Daphnia pulex: one gene and its partners. The protein of the gene in region 1 purifies or fractionates together with the protein of each later gene. This does not show direct contact. Links are inferred from orthologs where the notes say so. Each region holds a gene or a part of one and is shown in the gene's direction. Other genes may lie near its edges. The genes, in order: actin-related protein 2, protein Churchill-like and src substrate cortactin-like.

What was found.
Region 2: the proteins of actin-related protein 2 (region 1) and protein Churchill-like purify together in Homo sapiens (affinity purification with mass spectrometry; 4 studies listed by BioGRID and IntAct, with this or other methods). This does not show direct contact. The link is inferred for Daphnia pulex from reciprocal best matches to the Homo sapiens genes ACTR2 and CHURC1.
Region 3: the proteins of actin-related protein 2 (region 1) and src substrate cortactin-like purify together in Homo sapiens (affinity purification with mass spectrometry; 3 studies listed by BioGRID and IntAct, with this or other methods). This does not show direct contact. The link is inferred for Daphnia pulex from reciprocal best matches to the Homo sapiens genes ACTR2 and CTTN.

Annotation. Positions count from the first base shown.
Region 1 is NC_060020.1:5,358,589-5,362,869, reverse strand, and holds actin-related protein 2, read left to right. Parts: upstream 1-1,423; 5' UTR 1,424-1,568; coding exon 1,569-1,616; intron 1,617-1,707; coding exon 1,708-1,818; intron 1,819-2,306; coding exon 2,307-2,386; intron 2,387-2,452; coding exon 2,453-2,588; intron 2,589-2,675; coding exon 2,676-2,885; intron 2,886-2,947; coding exon 2,948-3,097; intron 3,098-3,177; coding exon 3,178-3,456; intron 3,457-3,521; coding exon 3,522-3,689; 3' UTR 3,690-3,858; downstream 3,859-4,281. Other genes in the region: macro domain-containing protein CT2219-like, read left to right, coding at 1-229, 297-416, 481-584, 654-854. UniProt on the Homo sapiens protein: ATP-binding component of the Arp2/3 complex, a multiprotein complex that mediates actin polymerization upon stimulation by nucleation-promoting factor (NPF).
Region 2 is NC_060026.1:15,993,360-15,996,069, reverse strand, and holds protein Churchill-like, read left to right. Parts: upstream 1-1,436; 5' UTR 1,437-1,552; coding exon 1,553-1,591; intron 1,592-1,652; coding exon 1,653-1,785; intron 1,786-1,871; coding exon 1,872-2,038; 3' UTR 2,039-2,127; downstream 2,128-2,710. Other genes in the region: uncharacterized protein LOC124205734, read right to left, coding at 2,644-2,710. UniProt on the Homo sapiens protein: Transcriptional activator that mediates FGF signaling during neural development. Plays a role in the regulation of cell movement.
Region 3 is NC_060023.1:10,192,692-10,196,938, forward strand, and holds src substrate cortactin-like, read left to right. Parts: upstream 1-1,315; 5' UTR 1,316-1,436; intron 1,437-1,500; 5' UTR 1,501-1,511; coding exon 1,512-1,657; intron 1,658-1,723; coding exon 1,724-1,843; intron 1,844-1,904; coding exon 1,905-2,015; intron 2,016-2,076; coding exon 2,077-2,197; intron 2,198-2,292; coding exon 2,293-2,403; intron 2,404-2,463; coding exon 2,464-2,574; intron 2,575-2,638; coding exon 2,639-2,822; intron 2,823-2,888; coding exon 2,889-2,959; intron 2,960-3,020; coding exon 3,021-3,566; intron 3,567-3,625; coding exon 3,626-3,706; 3' UTR 3,707-4,213; downstream 4,214-4,247. Other genes in the region: 39S ribosomal protein L23, mitochondrial-like, read right to left, coding at 417-572, 641-711, 780-985, 1,065-1,078.

The DNA of each region.
Region 1 (4,281 bases):
AAAAGCACTGCAACTCGAAATCAACATTGTGTTTCAGTGAAAGAGATTCCAACTTGGGAAGAGACATCAAAAGAAATTCCCCATTCTACATCAGATGGAAACAATACTGATTTAAAACCCAATTTATCAATCAATTCTAAAGTTTCTCTTTGGAAAGGGGATATAACTCAACTAGAAGTTGGAGCGATTGTCAATGCAGCCAATAGCAGGTTGGCTGGTGGTGGTGGAGGTGAAATTTAATAAAGAATATTGAAAATTTCTAAATTGTTTATCAATGTTTTGTGTTACCTCAACAGTTGATGGAGCAATTCATAAAGCAGCTGGTCCTTATCTTCTTGAAGAATGTCAATCTATCAAAGGTGGTTGTCAAACAGGGGATGCTAAACTGACAGGAGGATACAAACTACCTGCAAAGTGTAAATTTTTCTCTAGAAAAAGTATGAATGATATCCTGTTTCTATACAGTATTTATGTTTCCAGATGTGATTCAGACTGTTGGACCTATGGACCAAGACTCTAACTTGCTGTCTGATTGTTATTCTAATAGTCTTAAACTTGCGAATAAAAATGAACTAAAAACAATAGTAAGTCATGATTTTACATTCTAGTACCTTTTAGGGATTCCATTTCTTCATCTTCAAAATTTTAATTAGGTATTTCCCTGCATTTCAACTGGGGTTTATGGTTACCCCAATAGAGATGCAGCTGCAGTAGCATTGTTAACAACAAGAAAATTTCTTGAAAGTGATGAATCAACATTGGAAAGAGTGATATTCTGTGTGTTTTTAGATAAAGATCTAAAAGTATATCAAGAATTGCTACCTAAATATTTTTCAGTAAAGGCTGTTTTGTGATCTGATTTGATAACATGAAAAATTTTGAAAATTTGGTAATGTACAACATGTGTACAGCATGAACAGGCTTGGAATAAAAGAATGGCAAAAAATCTTTGAAATATCCTTTTTAAATTTGAATGCATCATCAAGTTCTTGCTTTGCCAAGGAATTTACTCAATTTAGTTTCCTCAGCCTTCCTATGATTTTGGCCAGTTTGGTTTCATGTTCTTTAAAGAAGATGTTCTAGTGTTGCATGCTTCAATGGATAATATTCAGTGTTGGTAAGAGTATTTGACTTTAGTATGCATATACAATTCATTCGTTTAATTTATTTAATTCTTTTTTGTCTGTTATTGAACATTTTGAATTTCCCGGTTGATTAACGGCGTTGCCAAAATTCTTCAGATAAATCATTGCATCAAAATAATGTAGTTCACAAATTAATTTAAAATCTATACTTTACAATTTCAAAATTTTTTTTAAGAAACTTTATCTCAAATATTTTATAACGATTCGAGATAGTCATTTAAAACCAGAGTTAACTGATTAACCAGCTGGATTAACCAATGATGTTAAGCAATCGGTTGCCGTGGCAACTCCCAACCCCCATGAGCTGCTATCGTCTGGCTCCGACGGGAAGTAGTTTTGGTTTTAGGGCGCTGTCAAATTGTGTGTCGTATTGTTCACGAATTGAGATTATCAATATAAAATCAACTATTAACAAACTTTGAGATGGATAGTCAAGGAAGAAAAGTATTAGTTTGTGATAATGGAACAGGGGTGAGTTATTTTTTTCTTTTGAAATATTTATTAATGTTGTTTTGCCGGCCATGTAGCAAACTAGCAACTCACCTTTATCAATGTTGGATAGTTTGTCAAAGTTGGATATGCAGGATCAAACTTTCCAGCACATATCTTCCCATCTTTGGTTGGACGACCTATCATTCGCGCTGCCAACAAAATTGGTGACATCGAAGTGAAGGTATGATAAAATTCTTTTCTTTCAAGCAGTTTCGATCTTACTGTCCATTTCCATGGTTTCGACATCACACAAAACTTTCTAGGGTTATCAAATTAAGGTGACATTCCAAGGATAAGTACAGAGGGAATCTCACATGTTTTGCATTTAAAAAAATCTGTGTCATGTTCTTATAACACAGATATAGTTTAAAAACCTATAAAGTCATAACAGTGATAGTAAAAAACCAACTTGTGCCGTCCTATAACATGAATGTCTTTGTGGAGTTTTGATTTTGATTGTAAAAAAAGGTTTTGTTATTTTCTAATGAACTGAATCATGATTTTGGCTTAATTGCTTGCCTTTCAATCAGGGATTTGCTCACATATCTGTAAGTATTGAGCACTTTATGGTGTGATATTGTTTGTTGGAATTTTGCATTGATGTTTAGTTGCATGTAACTTAGTGTTCTTTTTAATTGAATCTAAATTAATGAAGACTTTTATCAACAGGATTTAATGGTCGGAGATGACGCGAGTAAACTTCGCTCAATGCTTGAAGTGAACTACCCTATGGAAAACGGAATCGTTAGGTATATATCGATACATTTATTAAATTTGAACTGGTGTTTATAAATCTGCTTGTTTGTGTTCCTTAGGAATTGGGAAGACATGTGTCATGTGTGGGATTACACTTTTGGCCCTGAGAAAATGAACATTGACCCTCACCAATGTAAGGTCTTGCTAACAGAGCCTCCGATGAACCCTTTGAAGAATCGCGAGAAAATGATTGAGGTAAATGTTTTTAATTGTCACCATGTTTCAATGGTGGTGGTGGAAATGGGTGTGTAAAAATTCGAATCTTTGTGCCGTTTGTTACAGGTCATGTTCGAAAAATATGGATTTGCCGGAACCTACGTGGCCATCCAAGCAGTTCTAACACTTTACGCACAGGGTCTGCTGACGGGAGTTGTTGTCGATTCTGGAGACGGTGTCACTCACATTTGTCCTGTGTACGAAGGGTTTGCAATGCCTCACTTAACCAGACGTCTTGACATTGCCGGAAGAGATATTACCCGATATCTCATCAAGGTAGAATCAATGATCCATCCCGCAATAGTTTGGCATGAATTCAGTAATATTCCTCTTTATAGCTCTTGCTGCTGAGAGGCTACGCATTCAATCATACGGCAGACTTTGAAACTGTTCGCCAGTTGAAAGAAAAACTTTGTTATATTGGCTATAACATTGAAACGGAACAAAAACTGGCTCTCGAAACAACCGTTTTAGTCGAATCATACACAGTAAGTTTCCCTTTATTCTACCTTCGAGTCGCTGTGGCCATGGCATATTTAAAAACCAAAAAATTCGATTTCTAAAAAAGCTTCCAGATGGGCGCGTCATCAAAGTGGGTGGTGAACGGTTCGAAGCCCCTGAAGCGCTTTTCCAGCCTCACTTGATCAACGTTGAAGGGTCAGGAATCGCCGAGCTAGTCTTCTCGACTATCCAAGCGGCCGACATCGATGTCCGCCCGTCGCTATACAAACACATCGTCCTTTCAGGCGGTTCAACCATGTATCCCGGACTTCCGTCTAGGCTCGAACGGGAAATCAAACAGCTGTACCTTGAACGAGTTCTTAAAGGCGACACGGAGAAACTTACGGTACAACGATGAAATTTTGTGTTCTAGACGTACATTTTACTTACTACTCTTTTCTTGGCACGCAGAAATTCAAAATTCGTATTGAAGATCCTCCTCGCCGTAAAGACATGGTTTTCATTGGTGGTGCCGTATTGGCCGATGTCATGAAAGACAAAGAATCTTTCTGGATGTCGAGGGAAGAGTACAATGAGCGTGGCATCCGCGTGCTGGACAAACTGGTCAACCGCTCCTAACGCGCAATTTTAAACGCTCGTTCCTCTTTTCCGATTCCCATCGAAGGTCATGTTATTACTAATCAGATGTCCATTTTTTTTTTTCATGTTGCTGGGTTCACATTCCCGCCCTCCCTAATTTTTGTTGACCCCCAAATTCTGGCTGAATAAACAAAAATAGCCTCTGTAATTATAGCAACTAATCAGGCGAGAGAAGAAAACTCAAGCAATTTTATTATTGCACATAGGGGGAAAGTATGGCCGTGGTAGCAGATAATTTCAGAGAGGAGGACATATTTAACATTCCCAAGGCAACAACAGGAGAAAGAAAAAAAAACGAAGGGAAATACCTTTTTAAAAGGTTACACTGGGCACGACCATGAAGCCATAGTTTAAAATGGTTAACAACGTCATTATTTAAAAAAAAAAAACAGCCGCAAGAAATGCACACAAGGATATGTGAATTCTCGGATAAGGCACAGGCGTAGTATAGGAGAATGAATGTAGTTTTTTTTTTCCGTTGACTTCTTGCATTTTCTTTAACACAAAGAAGATAAGAAGGCGGCCATGACTACGATTTGACATTTAAACAACAATTCTTTTCTTATTTTTT
Region 2 (2,710 bases), on another chromosome or scaffold:
TCGAAAGGCCTTCATTGCACGTCCCCGTGCCAGCAGTTGTAATCACATCGATTGTCGAAACAACGACAGCAGAAGCCGTAACAATTTCCCTAATAACAAGAAAAAAAATATAAGTCAAAACAACAAATCTAGTAGAATTCATTTTTCTTACATAAAAGTCGGAGTGACGGCGCCGAGGAAGAGTGAGCAGTTGCGTCACCAACTTCAAGGTCTGACCTTTGAATGTAATTGTTGTTTAGGTTTGTTCAATCATCTTGGTTCTTCTTCCGTTGCTGGCTGCATCAGGTTGACAGCAGCATGCACTCGAGCAAGCTCAAATTAGGCTGTCATTGTGATGAAAGGGTGATTTTTTCATCATTCTCTCCATTTCATCAATCTGTAAAGAATTGACATAAGTAAAGTGATCACACTGAGAGAATAAATTTAATGGTCGCAAAAACTAGTCTGTTGCTAAGTTACCTGGAGTATGATGACAATTTGCCAGGTTTAGGCTATTAATCTGGGCATTGCTCAAGTAAGAACAGGGCATGAACACCACTGCCGTGCCAACTACAATGACTAATGAAAATATTCTTCTTCTTTGTTTTCCCATATCTGTAGAAATCAATAAAATGTTCATTAGTTAGAGAATCAGAATGAGATTTAAATGTTTTTATTATCTAGCGCTTTAGACTTTCAGTGCATTGGCCCATCTCCTCCTCAGAATCTTCCAGTTCTTAGTCCATGGAGTCCTGGGCTAAAATGATTATTTCATTTCAACCACGTGTTGGGGGACGGGAAACTCATGGATACCACAGATCCTAAGATAGAGCAAGAAGTACTGGCGTGAACGGACAAAATGGTAAATTCTCAATGTAGTAAAGCAGTTCAATGTATGAAAATTTTATACAACGTTAGTTTAGTTGGCAGCCTTAACGTCCATGCAATGGTCCAATCCGCCGCTCGAAAAACAAAGGGAGGGATGACTTGCGATTCATGTCCATCAACGAGCAGCTCTGCAGACTTACTGACGTATTTTAACGGAAGCGGAGAAACGGTCATCAGCGTTGCCAATTTATGCAACTCGACCGTCAAATTTTTTTTTTTTTTTTCAAAATAAGAATTCAAAGAATAAAATTGATTTAAGAAGTACAGAGAAAACCCAATGGTTTGTTCTCTCGAAAAAAGTAGGAATATTACAGCCTTACAGGATAAGGATAAACCGGGTAGTCGGGTAGCCTACTCTGAGCTGGATTATTCTTATTCTTTGTCTTGTTACGGCCATTAGCGAGTTATTGAACGTCTTACACAATTTTTTTTAATAAACAAAAATCAAAAACAGCCCTTCGGTTAGCTTTGCTTAACGCAGGTAGTACCAATCCGTTGCATTACGGAACTTTCCAAAACGCAATGCATGTCGTTTTTTTTTCATGAGATAGATGGCGTTGTAGCTGTGTTGTGAGCAGACTAAATGTAGCGATTTTGAAAACAAACAAACCCCAACAAGAAAGGAAGTATTCTTCCTCTGCATTTCCTGTTCTACATTACTATTTCCTCTCTTTTAACTTCAATTATGTGTGAAAGTTGTCTTAAAGAAGAATATCCCAATAGGGTATAATTTAACTATCAATTAAAGTTTAAGAATGGGTCACTAAATTCGGTTTACATTTTAGGATAGAATGTGCTTAGATTCGGGAGCTTACATGGCAAATTTGAAATGTTGCTGCAAATGTCAATCAAACCAAGTGAGTGTGCTAAACAAGACCATTTCAGAAGATGATGGGATCGAAGTAACAGTTTTTGAACGTAAGTTCAGTGTGCATAAAAACATAAATTCAGATTAATATGTTAATTTACCACCCCTTGTAATTATTTATTTCAATAACATTTAGATGCTTGTGGTACTTGCCAGCATATAATTTCCATTCACAATTACAAGTTCTGGGCCGAAGGTGACTACCAAGAATATGAAATGGACTGTGCATTGTGTGGAACTGCTGAGGATTCAATTAGCATTCTTCCTGATGATCCTCAAAAGGCCTCTTTGGATTTTTTCTAAATTTTCCATCATAACCTTTTTTGTAACACTTTTCTAAGATACCGCTTAAATACTGATTATTAATAATACAGTTGTATTTTAAAAATTAATTTTCCTGCTATCACAAATGTGCAATGTTGTGTTGACATTCACATTTGGTCCTAAAACTTGGTAACTCCTAATGAGGAACTGTATCAAACAGAAACATGCATTCATTACCTGCTATACTTTATCCTAAATTGTCATGGAAAATGTGATTAGATTCACCTATGATAGCTTTTCAATTACTGGCTTACTGTTGCAATATGCTGAAATTGTTTTTTAAAAGGGCTACTTTTAACCTATAACTTCTGGTAATGTTAAATTTGTCGTTGTTTCTGATCACGATCATCAAGGTGAAGCTTTAAAACCACAATTGGCGAGGTCCAACAGAACTAAAAAGTGCCACAGTCTGAAGTTTGTAACCAAACATGTTTAAATTTGGAAGGACAGTAACAAGAAAATTGATTCTCTTAAAATTATATCGTGTAATGCATTTGGAGATAAAACATCAGACTGCTTTTTACATAAATTTAAACAGGATATTATGGAACATATTAATGGATCTCATTAGCTCCAGGATGTGATCAGTTGCCATCTTGAGAACAAGACTCGTCAGAACATCCGCGGCTAATCAAACAAGATACAGTGGTG
Region 3 (4,247 bases), on another chromosome or scaffold:
CTAGAGAAAGTTGCAGCTTATCTGAGTTCGGATAAATGCATCAAGAATCCTTTCAATGGACCTATGGCTCATTGGGGCGGAAAATAAGCTAAATGGTGGTAACCACTATCATATCTGTAAATTTAATCTGGTTCTTATTTGTTTGGCGTTACGAGAAAAAATGTAGACTATTAAAAGTTATTCAATATTTCGGGTTAATGGGTAATACAATACAACGTTAATGAAAAATTATGGAATCCCTTTTCTGCTTTCTGCCACTTTTTTTTCCGAAGCAAAATATTTTCAATAAGTCCCCCCCCCCCCACCAAATACCGTGCCATAGGCCTACCCGGAGTTTCTTTTTATCTTATACAAATGAAATAAAATAATAAATAAACCATATGTTATTACTGTATTCTAACAAATTTTTTACAAATTCAATGACTAAACCATGTAGGCACTCCTTGTTTAGAAATATTAATGCTTGTTTTCTGGGCATACAATTCTTTTGTCTGTTTCATAGTATTAGTTTGCTCATCATAAATGTCAGTACTGCCATGAATTTCTGGGAAGACAAATTTGTGGTCTTTGTGCTAAAAAACAAACAAAACAAAATGGTTACAGTTGAAGAAACATTAAACAAGATAAGTTTTCAAATTACCAGAGTTACAAAGGCTATTTTTTCATCATTTTCCTTAGTGACATAAGTGTTGGGTAAAGTTTTTGTTTTCCCTTTAAAGAAAATTATTCTAAGTGTTAGTAAAACATCACTTATTTTAACCTCAATAATGTTGTCGTACCCATTTGGTTGTAGGTGCTGACATGAACAACAGGGAGGTTGTAAATTTTTTCAAGATATTGTTTAACATCAAGCTTGGTCATTTGTGATGAGACAACAAACTGAACTTGATTAGGTAGCAAATTGTGGCTCGGTTTGACAAGCTTCATCCAAAAGTCAGGTAGGAACACCCGTAATTTAGGACTACCGCTTTTGAAAGCTGGATATCTACATTTTTAGATTTTTTAATCGTAACTAATTATAAATTTTGAGTGAACCCAATTAAGCTTTGAAATTCTTGACTTACATTCTCGTCGACATTTTCTCAGGATGTTTGAAGCCTCAACACAATCAGTTTGATGATTTCTTGTTTACTGTTTTCGTCTGCATTGACTGCATGGTGCATGCTTGAATCTTTATGCTGCGCCAAATCATATTTCAAACTTTTCATTAATGATATTTACACTTTTATACTCATAGAAACAATTTAAATTTTTTTTTTAATTATTATTAGTAGATTTTATGACGAAATAAAAATAAGTTTTTAAAATTCATTTCCGAATGGCATTGTTGCAAGATAAACTATCCGGATTGTTTAACTTCTTATCAAATAGAAAGGGCGTGTGACTCAACTTTTAGCCGGTTTAAATTAGTATTATATCTATTTATTAAAGAATTTGTACGTCAGAGAGATCATTAATTATCACAAATAATTTTAAATTAAAATTTATTTTTCTCTCTAGATTGTAATAACATGTGGAAATCAGCAGTTGGTTCCAGCATCAAGGCTCCTGTTGTCAACCAAGATGACGATGAATGGGATACCGATCCCAATTATATTAACAACGTAACAGAAGAAGAACAACGATGGGGTGGGGGAAGAACTGCGGGTGCTATTGAGTGAGCATAAATGTTTTCTTCAAGACATTGTGTATTTACGTTAACGGTTTCTGTCAATGTTTACAGTATGAATGCTCTACGAGAGCAAACGACTAAAGAAGATCTGGAGCTCAAGAAAAAGGTAATGGCTGCAGGACCTCAAGCATCTTATGGATATGGTGGAAAATTTGGTGTACAAGGAGATCGGTATGTTTTTCTTAGAAAACTAAAATGTGAATTTCATCAACTTTTGTTTTTGTTTCTTCAGTATGGATAAAAGTGCAGTCGGGCATGAACATATCGAAAAAGTTGAAAAACATGCTTCTCAAAAAGATTACACCACTGGTTTTGGTGGGAAATATGGCATTCAAAAGGACAGGTAAGAACAGGATTCATTTTTTGTACATCTTTCCAATTTCTTACTATTATTGTTTATTAAGGATGGATAAGTCTGCAGTGGGGCATGACTATGTAGCCAAGGTTGAAAAACATGGCAGTCAAACAGATGCTGCCAAAGGGTTTGGCGGCAAGTTTGGAGTTCAAACTGATCGAGTTGATAAGGTATTTCATTAAAATATGCGCATTATTGTTTTATTTCAGTTACTTTACAGTTATGCCCACTATTTTCTCACGTTTTATTTGGATCGGTTAAATAGAGTGCTGTTGGTTGGGATTATCAGGAGAAGTTGGTAAAGCATGAAAGTCAAACAGATGGTTCCAAAGGTTTTGGTGGGAAATTCGGCGTACAAACCGACCGCATCGACAAAGTAACAAATTCTATAACTGTTTGAACAAAGGAATTTTTTCTATTGAAGTGCAATTTTTAGAGTGCAGTTGGCTGGGATTATCAAGAAAAAGTGGAGAAACATGAAAGTCAGGTGGATGGAAATAAAGGTTTTGGTGGTAAATTTGGTGTCCAGGCTGATCGAGTCGATAAAGTATAACCTACCAATGCAATGTTATTGTAATCCAACTAATTTCTTAATTTATCTTTTGTGACAGAGTGCTGTTGGTTATGATTACCAAGAAAAAGTAGAGAAACATGAGAGCCAAGTAGATGGTTCAAAAGGTTTCGGAGGAAAATTTGGTGTTCAAACAGATAGACAAGATGCAGCGGCCGTCGGTTTTGATGAAGAACAAGGTCATGTTGGTACTACTTACGAGAAGGATAAGCCAGTTATTGCGGGTAACAATAAAAATTTCCGTTAAGTTTTTCTTGGTTTGAATTTATTAAACTCATTTGGTTCCATAGAGAAAGGTAAAGCGTCTTTGCTGAAATCCCGTTTTGAAAATTTTGCTGAAGAAAACAAGAAAGCAGCCATGGTAAACGTTTGATAGTTTCTTATTACAAACAAATGTATTACATCATTTTTCATTTCTTTAGGTTGTTCCTCCTCCACCGAAGAATCCCCGCCCAATGGCTAAGATAGCACACAAATTCGAAACACAGTCGACGCCTCAAACAGAGCCACCCATTAAACAAATCCCCCAAACAGAAAAACCTGTCCGACAAAACCAATTCCTCCCAGCCAAGTCGCCTGTTATACCAGAGCCAGTCATCCGAGAAAGTCCTGTGATTTCTCCAGTTCCAGAACCTGCTAGGTCGCCTTCACCTCCACCGACTGTCGTTCCACCTGTTCCGGCACAAACTCAACAACATATCGCGCAATCCCTTGAACGATGGAACGATGATCTGGCCGAAGCTGTCGAAGAAGTGGATGATGGAGCGTGGAGGGAGCAAGTGGATGAGCAGGATGACGCCTGGAAAGACGAAGAAGAGATAGGCTACGTCCAAGAGAATTCGAATTTAGAAACAGTTGCGGAAGAAACTGGATCCGGTCTTATTGCAGTCGCCCTCTACGATTACCAAGCTGCTGCAGAAGACGAGCTCTCCTTTGACCCGGATGAAGTCATTGTCAACATCGAAATGGTAATGTTTATTAATTTATAAAATGTGTTTAGTTTCTAACCAACTCTTTTGCTGTGCAGATCGATGAAGGTTGGTGGCGAGGGGAGTGTAGAGGACAGATAGGATTATTTCCCGCTAATTACGTCCAACTGCAACAGTGAAACCCTATCCAGTTTTTTTCGTCTTCCAGGTTTTATCCAACAATCCAAGGTTCTTTTTTATTCCCAATTGTTAAGCATTCTTTCCAAGAATTTTCCTTATCTCGTAAGCCAACCATATGGCGGTTCTTTTTACGCGTGGCGTTATATTCGTGTATTGTTGTCCAGTCAGTATTCACAACGCGGTGAAGAAAAACATTACTTATTACAGATTAGTTGATTTGATGAAAATGTGTGACGGAAAAACATCGTTCTTGCCTATTATTGTGGAAAGAGAATTGCAAGTTATCCCTTATCTGCATTTAATTAAGAACCAATAATTAGATGTTGTTTGCCGACTCAAATCACAATGCTTTGTTATGATTATTGTGCCGAGATCCAACCGACCAATCTATCTTATGCAGCCTGTTGATTCATTGGAAGAGTTTTCATGTCCATACTCACCGACTGCAAACAAAAGCCTCTGTGATGACGTGGTGGTCCAAATACATATCTGTGTGTTGATAATGATTCAAATGTTACTAAAAACGCTTTTTACTGTTAC